2 linked regions of the Lepisosteus oculatus genome follow. Each later gene encodes a partner of the first gene's protein in a complex. Links are inferred from orthologs where the notes say so. Each region holds a gene or a part of one and is shown on either strand. Other genes may lie near its edges.

Region 1 (7,939 bases):
AAAACTAAGGTTGCTGCTGGAAGAGGTGTTAATGGGGCCAACAGGGGGCGCTCACCCTGTGGTCCATGTGGGTCCTAATGCCCCAGTATAGTGATGGGGACACTGCACTGTAAAAAGAAAAGGCGCCGTCCTTCGGATGAGACGTAAAACTAAGGTCCTGTCTCTCTGTATTCATTAAAAATTAATTCTGTTTCTCGAAAAGAGTACGGGTGTTACCTGGCGCCCAGGCAAAAGTTCCCAGTGGCCTTTACCAATGATGGCCTCCTAAAAATCCCCATCTCTGAACTGGCTTCATCACTCTGGTCTCCTCCCCACTGAGAGCCGGTGTGTGGGGAGCGTACTGGTGCACTCTGGCTACCGTCGCATCATCCAGGTGGGGGTACACACTGGTGGTGGTGGTGGAGGGGATCCCCATTACCTGTAAAGCGCTTTGAGTGCAGTGTCCAGAAAAGTGCTATAGACGTGTAAGCAATTATTATTATTACATCTGACCTATTTGGTATACCAAATAATTGATCCCAGGATCTCATTCCGCCGTCTTGAAGGAAGCCAGGATATTGGCTTCAACAGCACGGATGGGCAGCTTGTTCCACACCCCCACCACTGTTTGTGTAAAGAAGAGCCTTTGTTTAAAATGCACTTCCATACGGTTTCTGCCTGTGTAATGTTGCAATGCACAGCAGGACAGGTGTTCGGGTTCTGCCTTTCAACAGTTCTCCAGAACCTTCAAGCAAGTGACACGGACTGGGTCGTCACTCAGATAGCTGCTCAAAACGCTGCTTAAAATATTCAAAACAACTGGCAAATACTTACTACAGTCATAAAACTCAATGTGCTGATTTGACATACTTGCTATAACAACTCATACACGGAATGCTTAAGTCCGCAGGACAAAAATGTAAACGTTAATTCTCATTCCTTGTACCCAGATCAAGTGAGTAGAATTAAAATATTACTGAACAAACGGGGATATGTCACGTTTTCTGTTGTTCTTGCCTGTAACCACCCTGACAAATCTTATTTAGTCATTAAAACAGCTAGAATCTAAAAATATCCGCTTTTAAACAACTTTCTGAGTGCGGGACCGACTTAGACACGCAGCACTTTTAACGAGGAGGATTAAAAGCACTTACTATGCGAATGCACTTCTCACTATTTTATTAATCTAAAAATGCACTTATATTTTAAAATTCAATTGACGAGCAAGGCCAATTATTGCACTGGATCGACAGGTTCAAAAAGTTCCACAGGACACCTCTGCTGCAAAGCCTACGCTTCTCCGGGCGGCGGTTTCTGAACAATGCTGGAAACGACACCGACTCTCTCCCGGCTCGACCGAACTCGCCCGGGGCTCGCTTCCGTGAGGAGACCGTACAGGTAAGTGCAGGAGAAGCGCAACTAAACTGCAGCCGGGAGTCCTCCGGCCAGCGAGCGGGGCAGCTCTCCGGGCGCACACTGTGCGATCCAGTCACATCCACACCCCCTTACGGAACAGGCTGAGGGAAGGAGGGAGGGAGAGGCGTCAAAGTTGCTGTGAAGAAAGTACTGGAAGGTGCGCGAACCAGACTCCCCTCGCAACCGAGCGGACCCCCCGCCACGGCCAGTTTTCTTTTTTTAAATTATTTTGACATAGTCGTGGTTTGCGGGAAGAACAAGAAAACAGCGCACGTCAAGACCAGACGAGCCTTCGGGCGACACGAGTGTGTTACTCAACGGTCATCCAGCGCGGACTGGCACCGCGTCGGCACCGGCCCTTTCACGACCCGTTTCCGATCGAAACCTCACGACAAGCGCCCGCCAGGCTCTGCCCTGCGCCCTTCTTCTCCCCTGCACTACTGCCCTCTTACCCCCCCACCGCGACCAGAGTAGGGGAACAAATAAATAAATACAACCCCAAGTCACTGACTGGCTCGGAAACTCTCCGGGGCGCTCAGCTCGTCCACAAGGTCACCAGAGAACCAGCGACACGCATGTCGGCGCCCACGGGACGGGGGCTCAGCGGCGCTAAGGGCTCGAGTAGCCCGTGGAAAAGCCATGAAGGCACGCAACTGCGCAAAACCGCCTGCCCCCGACACACGGCACCGCCACCCGGAGCGCTGCCAGCGGGCCAGCGGGCCAGCGCAGGCTGCTGACAGCGGCGATCGTGCTCGGCGCTTACCCCAGAATCCCTTCGGAGTAGTTCCTCGTCTTCCACGGCGTCCCAGTGTAGCCGCCGCCGCCGCCGCCTCCTCCTGCCACCCCGTTGCCCCCGGAGCCCGGGAGCAGCAGGCTGCTGTTGAACCCGAAGGTGCTCGCCTTGTTGTCCCGCTTCCTCTTGTTGCGCAGGTCCGAGCCCCCTCTCCAGCCCCCGGCGCCCCCTCCGCCCCCCCCTCCGGCCCCGCCGCCCCTCCCCGCTGGCCGGTTGTTGTTGGTCTCCAAGGGTAAAAAGTCCCGCTGCTGCCCGATCTCGCCCTCCGGCCTGGCGTTAGACATGCCAGGGCTCCTGCCCTCGCTGGGAGCCCCGCTCTTCGCCGAGCTGGCGTCGGCCGTCCCCCCGCTGCTGCTGCCGCTGCTGTAGTTGTTGTTGAAGTACAGGTTGCTCAGACCCTGCGTCGTCTCCCAGATCTGCATCCACAAGCTGTTGGCAGGTCCGAGCTGTTCTGGCTGAAACCAGGCGATTCTCGGATCCATCAAACGCTAGTGGGCACGACACGCACCGTGCCTGCCCCGAGCGAGGCTCAGACCGTACGCGTGTGCGGCGCAGCAAGGCTGGCTCCTCGCAGTGCGATGTTATTATAAATATCACCCCTTAAATAAGAATCCCTTTAAAATCGGAGAACAAAAAACGGAAGGAGACAGAAAGCACGAAATATTTAAAAACAAAAAAACCCTCCAACTATGACAAAAGTTCAGTTTTGACAGCAAGAAGAAGGAGATCCCAGATCACGGCGGCGCACAACCCTCGCCTGTCGCTGTTCGTCTGACCCCTCTCTCTCTCCGGGTCCCTCAATGGCGGCCAGCGCGGCCCACTGCGCAGCCGCGCCGCGGAGGGGGCGGGGACAGCCCGCTGTGACGCCATCGCGCGTCAACATTTTTGTCTTGTTACGTAACAGTAACAAATCAGTCTTGGAAACAAGGTGTCGACTCAAGAATCAACTGTTTACACCCTGTTAGGGTGCTCACCATCCCCGATTTGGAAAATGACGTTCTTTCCAATGAGCCTCGATGGAGTCGATGGAGAGGTTTATGCGTACAGATTTTCTTTTTCTATTTTGACGTCCCCTGTCCTCTCATTTCACCTCCTGCCGGACTGCAGCCTGCTTCACCCCCCTGCCCGTGTCCAGTACGCTCTCCTGTCCTCCCTGCCCATCTCAGGACCTTCTTCAGAAGGGCTTTTACTAAACTGATTTGCATGTTACACCACACTCTTTTTCTTTTATGTTGTACTTTTTATCTCCTATCATAGTTCTTTCCCCTTACTTTAAAGGGTCTTGAGAAGCTTATAAAGACACTATACAAAATGAAGTGTATTATTACTATCATTATTATTACTATGTCCCACTGGTCTGCAGCCTCCCCTGTCTCCAATACTCCAGTCCTCCTTGACCATGTCCAGCTCTTCACTCTTGTGCTGCTCACTCCTCTCTCCTGCCCTCTATCGGTGGAACCAGGTACTCAGAGACATCAGGGCAGTGGCAGACTGTATATGCCCACATTTCCTCAGCTCCTTCAGACACCTGTCACCTGGACACCTGTGATATGTACCCAGTTTTATCTCCTTTAACTCCTTTAACTATAATTCAGTACTTAGAAGTTGAGGATGACACAACATTTTAGATTAAGAAATGCAAGTGCTGAAATAAACAGATACCCCTTTCGGCACGGGATTTACGAAGGCTGTGTAACCAGAAAGAGCAGATTAATTTGAAAGATTAATAATAATAATAATAATAATAATAATTTCTTACACTTATATAGCGCTTTTCTGGACACTCCACTCAAAGCGCTTTACAGGTAATGGGGATCCCCTCCACCACCACCAGTGTGCAGCCCCACCTGGATGATGCGACGGCAGCCATAGTGCGCCAGAACGCTCACCACACATCAGCTCTCAGTGGGGAGGAGAGCAGAGTAATGTAGTCAATTCATAGAGGGGGATTATTAGGAGGCCATGATTGGTAAGGGCCAATGGGAAATTTGGCCAGGACACCGGGGTTACACCCCTACTCTTTTCGAGAAACGCTCTGGAATTTTTAATGACCACAGAGAGTCAGGACCTCGGTTTTACGTCTCATCCGAAGGACGGCGCCTGTTTACAGTATAGTGTCCCCGTCACTATACTGGGGCATTAGGACCCACATGGACCGCAGGATGAGAATGATAATTGTTTTTTTTTATCTAGAGTCTGCAGTGTCTCCGGCTGTTCTTCTATTTGGAGACACACAGGAGAAGTGAAACAAGGCTCAATGAGCCCTTGGCCTGCTGTTCCATTGCACCTCTCTGGTATTTCCTCAGAACAACTGTTTAAAAACACATTTAACATTTGCAGCGTAGCGCCTTTCCATCACCTTCAGTAACCGCAGTACGCAGGTAAGAGAAACCTGAATGGGAGAAGAGCAGTGAAGTGCCTCTCTTTTCCAGCCTCTTCAGCCCTATGGCTCCTCCTACACACAGTGCAGCTGGCAGCTGTCGCTCCCTGCAAGACTGCTTTCAGTTTTCAGTCATCTGTGCTGGAAGGCGGGTCCGAAAAAGGAATCACTAATGGGAGGCAAGCGGCTTTCTTCCTACCACAATAACAGCACTAACAAAAGGGACACAAGACATTTTTCACATTCAGGACATACCTGTTTAAATGCCTGTCCGTGTGACGAAGTCTTCCCTGTTCTCCTCCGTCTGCTTCCCCGTCTCGTAGACTGCGAGGAGGTGCACGCAGCTGGCTCCCCTCTCACGTCAGCCTTGGCCAAACTAGCCCAACGTTCGCCCCATTTAACAAAGGGGGTCCCCGGACCCCTCACCTGCTGTTCTTCATTCCCGGTGAGCTCCTTAACTTAACCAAATTCTTAACTGAGCCGACACTGAGATTGGAATCAAGTTTTTCCTCCTCAGATCCCCCCGATCCCGGAGATCCTACATTTCAATTGTGGGACGCAATCGTAGAGGGGCACCTTCCAAAACGTTCAGGAACTGAGAACAATTAAAAAAGGCTCAGATGAATCCTACGATGAGGCAAATTAAGGGTTCGAGCACGTGAAGGAGAGCCGAGCGGAATGAAAACCCAGGTGCGTGGGCGTCCACGAGCCTGAATCAACACTCAGCTCTTGCACGGCTCGCACGTGGCGGGTGCGTGTCTTTCCTGGACTATAAACACCCTGCATGGAGGAGTGGAAAATTATTCGCTCGACATTCCTCCCCGACTCCCCCTTACCTGCTCTGACATCGCCTACATGTCATCCATGGTGTGCGAAAAATGAAGAATAACCTCTCATTTCGCTAACAACAATAAAGCAATTAAAGTCCTGGGCTGTTTACGAGTGAAACACTATACCCTCAGAGACTGGGCTTGGTTTATCTCCAGACTGTACAGACTTTGAACTTTTAAGATTATAAACATTGAAGGTGTAATGGTGTGATTTACACTTGCTAGATTACATACATATTTTTACAACATGTTGATATAGATATTTACTTTTACTGAGCTGATAAAGAATATCCAGAAATACAAGATAACTTTTTGCTCAAATGCATTATTCAGGTAGACTTCAGGAGTGGTTTACAGCAACTGTATGCAGAAACTGACTTAGCTTTGCCATTCTGATGAGCATCTTAAACGGGGTAGTTACTCCCAAATAGAAGAGGTATCTGTGAGGAACCGGGACTGAGAGTTGAACATTTACAGACAAGTGCAGTTAGAAAGAACCGATTATAAAATCTTTTACCGATATTAATAAACACAGATTCGCACTAATTTGTGAATTTCCCAAACCTAAAACACTGTATCAAGAGCTCAAATGGAACTGGCTCATCTTCCTCATTAGCCCAGTGATTTCCTCACCTCCACCACAGGACAGCAGTAAGCTCTGAGTTACCTGCTTACTGGCAGTGTTCATCTGTACCAAAGAGCAGGACGCCTCCTGCTACCCGGACACAACCCTTTTATCAGTGGCTGCACAGCGCAGGGCTTCAGTGCAGAAAGGAAAGGAGCACACAACCTTCCCCTTAAACACTTTTCACCCAGTTCAAGAAGAACCTGCGTAAGGAGAGGAGGATGTGGAGCGGGTCTTCAGTACGGTGAGCAAACCAGAACCTCGAAGATATCACACCAAAAAGAGCTAAAATATAAATACATGAAACACGTAGAGAACCCAGCTGATGGCACAGCCCAGACACTACAGATACTAGACAACAGAAAAGCCACCAGCCACATCTGCCACCAGTATGAAGCCCAGTGAGACAGCAAACCCATATTATAATAAAGCCCTACGTCGTGAAATTCCTGGCTAGCAGGGATGCGTGTCCAGTCTTGAAAAACTGTAAGACTTCAAGCCCAAGTGTGCCACACTACTGATCATTAAACGAAGAATTCATAATTTTAAAAACACTTTCAGAATTGCGTTATAACTTAAAAACGGCGTCATTTTATTCAGAATTGCATTGTATAGCAAAGGAAGTTTTATTTAAATGGTAATACAGTATTGCAACCATCCCTTGGGTTTTTTATTTTTTTTCCCTTACATTCTGTGATCAACAAAGCGATCCATGGTGAAAAAACAGGACCGGTACACTTTCTAGAAAAAAGAAAAAACAAACCAACAAAATTTAAATATGGATTTCATTCTCAAGCACCTTGTGTGGCGCAAAGGGCTTTTGCCAACACTCCGGTCTTCCACACAGGTCCTCTGGTGTGGTGGAAGGAGCTATTCCCCAAATTCCCAAAGCTCCAGTCTTTCCTACGGCTCCTCCATCAGAGTCAGTTGGGGTGCACAGACCCCGACTCCCTCTCTCGAAGCAGCAGTCAGTGCTAAGAAGCGCAGTTTTTCTCCAAGCTCTCCTGGTACCTGATGAAGCGGCGGAGGTTGATCTTGATGTTATCCAGCACGCACAGCTGGTCCGGGCTGCAGCTCCCCTTGCCTTCTTTCCTCAGCTGGAAGAGAGGAGGGGAAAAACAGAGCGTCACTGGCAGGGACTGCTGGACCAGGTAAAGAACAGGGCTCTGCCCACAGACAAGGCGATGGCTGATGTGGTATTCAAGAAGGACGAACGCTGAAAGAAGCAGCTAGCGATTTAACTGGGAGAACTGCTGAGGTCCGAGATTTACAGGAGATGCTTAAAAGGAAAACTTGTCCAATGTAGCTTCTTGCAGAGAAACCTTTTGGTTTCGTGAACAGACCTTTTACTGATATTCAAACTCAGGATCAGCTGGACTGGGCCAGACATCTCCACTGCAAAGTCATCGTCCTCTGTGATTGTTTAAGTGACCTGCAGCAACAGGATCAGCCTGGTCTCTTAAGGCCCAGTGAGCTAGCTAATGCCCTGGCTGGACGGGCGTCCTGCCGAGCCCAGCTGGGGAGGTGGAAATACTGCGTGTTCGCGTGTCGGACCTTGGCCTTGAAGACAGGCTGCAGGGCGCTCAGAGCAGGCAGCAGCCGGATCTCCTTGGCGGCGCGCTCCGCCTCCGGCCCGTCCGCGAACACGTCGAACAGGGCGTCCAGGGCCTCCCCGCACACCACCAGACTGGGGTCCTTCGACGCGACTTGCAGGAGGAAGTTCCCGATCATCTGCAGAGTCAGGCACAACAGAACATACAGTGGCATTGGCTCTAGGCTGGGCTCAGTCCTGGAGCACAGACCAGATTCATCACAGACGTGCACTGAACACTTTCTAGAGATATCATCTTCACATCTTGTTCTTTTACATAAAGAAGATGTCCCACTGAAATTAATTGCCGTGTTCTCATGAAAAG
Region 2 (7,390 bases), on another chromosome or scaffold:
TCTCCGGCCCTGCTGGCATAGTGGACCTGACTGTACAAGTGGAACTCCACCTCGCTGTCGAGCTCGGAGTCGCTGGATTGCCCTGGCTCCTTGTACAGCTCGTCCTCATACTCCTCCATAGACTCATACCCAGCAAACATGTTGGCTGTGGAAACAGGTGATCGACAGACTGTTGACATCAGGTAACATGACAGAAAAACCTCGCCTAAAGTACCTCACCATTAGACAGGACAATTCACCCCTTTCATGTCTTTGACCACTGAGGAGGTCAAGTGACTCCAGGACTGAGATAGAACACCACTCGTCCCAGCTGACAAGTTCACAATCGTCGTTTGCATTTATTTTGTCTTACTCTTGTGTTGATGAAAGCAGGATCCTTACTGAAAAACAGAGGAGTTTGCTTTGACAAAAGAGAGACTGAGCACCCCAAAGTAATTCTGTATCATCCAAGTTAAAAAAACAAACCCGCCTGAATTTACAAGGATCACTTCATCCCTTTTAGCTTTAATGGTTTACCTTCTAACTTCATACTGTCAGATATACAGGTTTGCAACATCCTTTTCTGTACTGGTCTCCTATGCTTCAGCATCACTACTCATCAAACACTTTGCCTTATGTAATGTAAAATGTTGCAAGAACTGCAAAGGGCAGAGTTTGCTTCCAAACAAAGATCTGATAGGTTAATTTCCAAAGGTGCAAAACTCCAGTCTCTTCTAAAAAAAACAGAAGAGACTTAACATTTTCAGTGTTACTCCACTATTCCTCTTTTCATTTATCCCACACCCTTTACAGTGCACTCAACTCCTATGCTTTGCAGGAACAGATGTTCACCAAGCATACGAATGACTCAGATTTAGAAAACATAAATAAAATAAATGAATGCCAGAGCTACTCAATACAAGCCCATAGTCCGGTTCAACCCAGCGTGTCTGAAGCTATAATGGCTGATTAAAGAGACATAGTCTGAATGAAGGAGATGGCAAAGATGGTCACAAGCCACCGACCAAGGAATAATACAAAAAAGAGGAGGATGTAAGAGGGAGAGGGAAAATGATTTGTGCCCAAATTTGTTCCTTTTATTCATGGATCATTTTCATCCTGAATGGTCAGGGATTTAAAGGAGCATAGGCAGACTCCCGTGTAAGCTGTTCACCCCCACACAAATGACAAAATCCTGAGGTGCAAAAATTGACCCTCAAATTCTCTGAAATGACTTACCTGAGTTCTACTGCCACGCCGATTCCCTGTCCCTTTAGATCTCTTTCTCTTTCTATCCAGTGGCCTTTGACATAAAATAAAAAAAAAACAGAATGAGAGATAGAGATCAATTATTTCCTATAGCTGAGGATTACTCACTGCACCTACCAATTAACCTAACCATGAGTGTCCCAGCAGGGACTGGCTGACAGTTGAAACTCATCCTGCTATTCAGCTCTTATTCCTGTCCTCCTAAGGCTACTAATAGTGGCAGCCTTGCCAGAAAGAGGACACAAGTCAAGTGGTTTGGTAGGCCCTACTGTAAATCCAAATGTAATAGCTGGAGATCTCCAAAACAAACCAGCATCTTTAGAACACAAAGTGTTGAGAACTACTGTACCATTCACCATCGCCTTCATAAATGTGACAGGCAGGTTTGTAAGGAAAATGAGGACAAACACAAATTAACAGTTGGAAGCACATCATATGCTCAGATTAAACAAAATTTTATCTTTTTAGACACGCTGCGCAGCTAGTTTGGCATTAAGAAGATGAAGCTCACGCTGAGAAAACACTCATGCCTACTGTGAAATATGGCGGGAAGTCAATTATGTTTTGGGTTGGTTTTTCATCTACAGATCCTGGAGTGTGAAGGAATGGTGAACTTCAACCTGTACCGGGGTATTTTTGGCCAAACTCCTGGTTTCCTCTGCCAAGAAGATCAAGGTTGGCCAAAAGTGGACATTGTAACATGACGATACAAGCCATAGGCCCAAAACCACACAGAAGTGCACACATATGTCATTCAAATTAGCGCACCTTCTACACTGTAAATATTATTTTTCCTGGTAATGTTTTGTGTCTGTTGCAGTTTAAGATTCTTTGAATAATTGTGCTCTCATTTCATATACTGATCACAGCTGAAATGATATGTGTAAGTGATAATTTATATAGAAATTGATGAAAAACGTTTTCCAGATATATTTATGATGGTAAAAACAAGAACAGTTTGTAGGCCTTCCATCTGGTTGGATTTTTAATAAGTCCCTTCAGAGCTCAATGCCCACAGGTTGCACAGTCTCTCATGACTTAACAAGTTGTTCACGGTTTTGCCTTTGAAAAACACTTATGCTTTCGAATATTTGTACTCACTCACACACACCTAATTTGACATCATAAACGTGTAAAAGAAACGAATTCTGTCCCTGTCGCCATCTGTTTATCTGCAGATATCCAAATGAGAAAAACAAAACAGCAAAACAAATAAAAACGTAAAGATACTTTTGTGATGCGATTAAAATGTATTTTAAACTAGAATAACACCCACTGAATACATTAACTTAAAAACACTATAGAACAGTGTGTGGACGTATTTGTGTTAGCTCCTATTCTCTGTGCACAAACTAGTACCTAATGACAGTGTTTGTCTAACACCTACATTTAGACAGTGTAAAACAGAGAATAGGAAATCGTGGCAGAGAAGCAAAATATTTAGGTATTATTAATCAGTTCACACTGTATATCCTAAAATCTTAAAAGCTTGTGTACCCACGTGTTCAACCACTCAGTGTAACTACCGGCAGACTATAAACAAATCACTCAACGCGTACTGTACTCTAGGGCTTTAAAAACATAAGCCACGCTAGTTTGACCATTTCAAATACAATATCCAGCTTGCCTTTCTGCACTGGATTTTGTATTCTTATGTCACTTTAAACTCACCCGTGTATTAGTTTTCAGCCACAACTTCAGACATTACAGTAAAAACACATTCCGCTGTCCGACCAATGTCAGCACGGAGTTTGGAGGAGCTGGTTGGACGATGATCACATTGCTCAGTCTTTCCCGGAGTTTCCATGCACGTCTCGGGAAGCGAAGGTACTGTAGCATTAATGTCACGGTGAACTGAAAACGAAGTCTTAGAACTCACAGCAGGGAGAGATACATGCCATTAAATCGTGTGCTTTTAAGAAACACGCACACAGTGTGAACTATGTTATACCACTTGATACCATAAGTATTGTATTTTAATACCATAAATGTCTAACTGTAGTGAATGTGAGACAAGACAAGACCGTTATGTAGCGCAGACAGCGGTAGTAACTTCAAATTTGTATCTTCCATTTTTGTATAAAACATTGGGTTCTTGTTGTCCATTAACGTACTCAAATCCTGAACATTTATATTTACATTTGTAAGTACGACATATAGTTTTTAAAATAACTGTTTTTCACTGGAATTCGTAACTTCTTAAGATTTGTATATCCCAGCGAAATGCAACAATATTGAGGGTGACACAACTGTCAACAAGATTAATTATAATGTTGTATCATATAACACAGTAGTGTCTAACTTAAGCTACTGTAAACCCGTACCGAAGTTATATTTCCCATATAAATTCGAAACGTATTATAGGGGAAAATGAAATAACAGTGATTCGCGACTGTCGTTTGTTTATATCATTTCTAAATGTATTGTATGTAATAATATTTACGTTTGTGCTGCTAAGTTTGCTTCTTGTGCTTCGTCCTCTCTATTACATTACATAGATAAAGCGGATAGCGAACGTTTCGCCGCCCTGTAAATTTTATAGGATAAACACCGAATAAAAATAACAAACAATACGTTCATTTACATAAATTTTCGATGGTGTCATTTAAGTAAAGGTTTCGAATTTCACCTAAAAGTGGAAACGGAGTTGCTTCGTATTATTATTATTATTATTATTATTATTATTATTATTATTATTATTATTATTATTATTATTATTTACTTTGTTAACTCTCAAAATATTTTCTTCTCCCAAGCAAGTGTGTATATTTAACAGCAGCAAAAACAATGAGAGAATGTTTTAGTTTAAATTTGCAGTTTTGGCATAATAAAGTTTGTTTTTTATTTACAGAACTTTTGTTTAAATACTCCTGTTTATTGACCTGCCCCGTACTCTTTGGACTCCATTCTGTCATCTTTAAGGATTGTTACCTGTTGTAATATTGATTAAGATGGACAAAGCATTATTGACCCCAGGAATTTTTTAAGTCCATAGCACAGACGAGCCTTTTCCTGTTTAGTGAAAAACCTACAGCATCTACTTTGTCACCTATTTGCAGAAGCAGAGGTCAGTGAAAACTATCTAGTCAAGAGTTTTGAATTAAAAGGAATTTTAAACACTGTCTGTGCTTCATGGCATCAGACAAGTCATGGTCAAATCCCTTCCCTCATTGCCTTCCACTTACTAAAAATCATGCAGTAACAGGTGTAGCTGCTTCTTATACATGCTACAATTGTTGTTCATAGTATCTATATTTTAGACATTAATGCCCCCATTTTACACCATTTGCATCCATATGCTTTGAGCTGAGCCTGTAGATTGCTGTCCTGCTTCTTAGCAAATTACAGAAAATCACTGTTTGATTCACCATCTGAGTTGGAATAATTTGCCATGCATGTCATACTGGCAATGCCATAAAAAAAAACAGCAATTGTTTGCACCCAAAGGCAAGCTTTTCTACATTATGTCTTTGTGATTCATGGCTGAGCTTCCATGGGAGTTTTTAGAACTAAATTAGGTAGAGATGGGAATCAGTCATGTCTATAGAAAAAAAAAAGATTTGAGACTTGATTTTGATTTATTGTTGGAGGTTTTTTCAGGGGATGCAGGCAAAAACTCTCATTGACTATTCCATAGGCTTGCAACTGTTCATCTGTTAAATACAGAGCCATTCGTCTCCTGCACCTTGTTTGAAAGTCTTTAGTCCTAAGCTTTGAGTTATGAATACCTGCCATGATGTTCAAATCAAGGATTTGTGTTGATAGAGCTTCATTATTCAGACTACGGCCTGGATTAAATCACAGTTCCAGCCCTCTTGCCAATATCTAATTCCACATGCATCCTTTGATGGAGCTTTCTGTTTGCCAGAGGCTTTTACTGGTAACAAGGCCTTATTCCTTAACCACTGGACCACCTAGTCTCCACCCACAGAGAATAACCCAGACACTGATAAGACGCACAAGATGGTACTGCTGAGGCTTGTGCAACAGCAGAAGGAGACCATATTCATTACTGTGTTTGTGCGCTTAATGTTGGCCACATCTCTGCACTGAACATTTGTGCAGCAAAACAAAATGAGTATTTTGTGTGAAATGTTAATGCCTTCTGTAAAAGCTGTTCATTTTTATCATCCTCTGTTGTTGCTACGAAATTTCAATTGAAATTAAAATTCAATTCTTGGATAAAACACTAACCAGTGCACCATACTTTGCATTGGTGTTGGTGCTGCTGCTGAGTCTGTTCGTGGCATTTTGCAAAGGTCAATAGCTCCATTATAAAATGATAATAATAGATTGTAGAGACTAATTAATGTTTTTTAAAAAAAAAACAGTATAGATTTTTATTTTTGAAGTCATAAGTGTCCCATTGGCATTTATATTTTTTTGTTTTGAATTACCAGATTTATTTGTCTGTGTTTTATTCATAACAGGGGAGTGGCTAGCTATTTATGCAACACAGCATCCTGCCCCCAGCGTTTGAAAATTAGATTTATATGTTCATAATAGATCTAGATATAACTTTTATTAGATTTCTTGGAAAACTGTGGCTGACCACCTTTGCTCCAGTCTCTGTAGCAGGGCTAGTCAGTAAACAGTCCTCATTTATTCCAACAGAGTTTGACTCGAAATATTGTTTAATTAATTTGATTTGTTACAAATATATTTAACAGTTAACAACCTTTTTTGGTCACCAACATCACCAGTAGACCTGCTCTAGCATCTAGATGGGCTGGTCCCAGTTCTGGAGAACCAAACTCCAGCAGAGTTTACAAGTTACTCTTGATCATCAATTAACATTAATTCATTTATAACAAATGTACTGTAAGCATTTGGTTGTTTTACCAATCAATGTGTTCCACTGAGAGTGAAGGGAGAAACTCTGGCCTTGCAATGATGAGAGTTAATGGGCTCATTCCTAATGATGAAGTAGGAAACAGTCTCATATAGACACTGGTATTCTTAAAGCTGACCTATAAAACTCCCCAGAACCAGTACTGTTCACCATGTGCTATTGCTAATGTTGTACACTATTCATACAATTGCAGAGCTGGAAAGTCACAATACAACAGGTTTGTTTTTATAAGGCACTTTAAATCATCAACAAGATGTTAGAATAGTGTTATATTATCAAATTATTGAATTGAGTTAGAAAGGCCAGAGCCTTCGGACTCAGAGCTCTGTAGTGTTCCAGGATTGGTATTGTGTACCACCGCTCTGGCCAGTTTGATGGACAGGTTCTGCATTGAACACAGGGTATAACAGATTAATGGACAAAAGACTGAGGCCCATATAACATCATGTCTTAGTGTTCTCACCTCACAGTAGTTGTATCCTACATTGTGAGTTACAGCAAAGATAACTGTGATTTATTCTGCATTTGCTACAAATATTAATAACAGAGAATCGTCTTCTCTATTGTGAAGAGAGATTTATTGGGATGATAAATGTTCTATTTTGCTAAATAATTAGCAATATTCAGAGCTTTTATTCTGAATAAAACAACTAGAAAAATAAAACAAGTACCCACCTTATTGATGATTTTCAGTTATTTTGTTTTCTCTCATGGTTTGTCTGTGTTCTTTAAGCATTGGATCATCTCCAGATGATGCCTCCTAAGTGCAATTAACATGGGACGTCTTAAGCATAGAGTACAATCTGAAGCCAAACTGTATGCTATGCTCGTATTCCATAGACCTCCTGAAGCAGTGTTAACAGTTTTTCATATAAAATGCTGTTGGAAAGTATGTATATGCTTATTGTGTATGCCATTACTTGTGTAGTGCATCCATTTAAGACACAGTATAATTTTGTGAATCCACTCTTGACTCCATATCTAAGTTGCAGTGGCATCCATTGTCAGACCTGCAACCTGATTCCTTTGACATAACCTTTGCTCGTTTCTTTTCAAACCTTACATTCTAAGGTGGTGGAGAACTTTAGAGGTAGATACTCTAGAACTCTTAGTATAGTGCAATACTGTATAGTATAGTGCTGTATAGAATAGAATAGTATAGCCACTTGGCTCATGTCATTCCATTCTGTCTAGTTTGCCTACGCATCCAATCAAGAATGATTAAAGATCACTAACCTGTTGTGCAGCTTGGATGTGTTTGTGTCTTGCATGCTATTTTATATATAGAGT

The links.
Region 2: tent4b (region 1) and zcchc7 share a complex: the UniProt entries of both Homo sapiens proteins name them as parts of the nucleolar TRAMP-like complex. The link is inferred for Lepisosteus oculatus from reciprocal best matches to the Homo sapiens genes TENT4B and ZCCHC7.

Annotation. Positions count from the first base shown.
Region 1 is NC_090715.1:1,971,294-1,979,232, reverse strand, and holds the start of tent4b (terminal nucleotidyltransferase 4B), read right to left. Parts: upstream 3,018-7,939; 5' UTR 2,671-3,017; coding exon 2,159-2,670; intron 1-2,158. Other genes in the region: heatr3 (HEAT repeat-containing protein 3), read right to left, coding at 6,998-7,120, 7,578-7,754. UniProt on the Homo sapiens protein: Terminal nucleotidyltransferase that catalyzes preferentially the transfer of ATP and GTP on RNA 3' poly(A) tail creating a heterogeneous 3' poly(A) tail leading to mRNAs stabilization by protecting mRNAs from active deadenylation.
Region 2 is NC_090696.1:67,040,557-67,047,946, reverse strand, and holds the start of zcchc7 (zinc finger CCHC domain-containing protein 7), read right to left. Parts: upstream 3,006-7,390; 5' UTR 2,920-3,005; intron 2,421-2,919; exon of another isoform or gene 2,360-2,420; intron 1,283-2,359; 5' UTR 1,219-1,282; intron 146-1,218; 5' UTR 141-145; coding exon 1-140.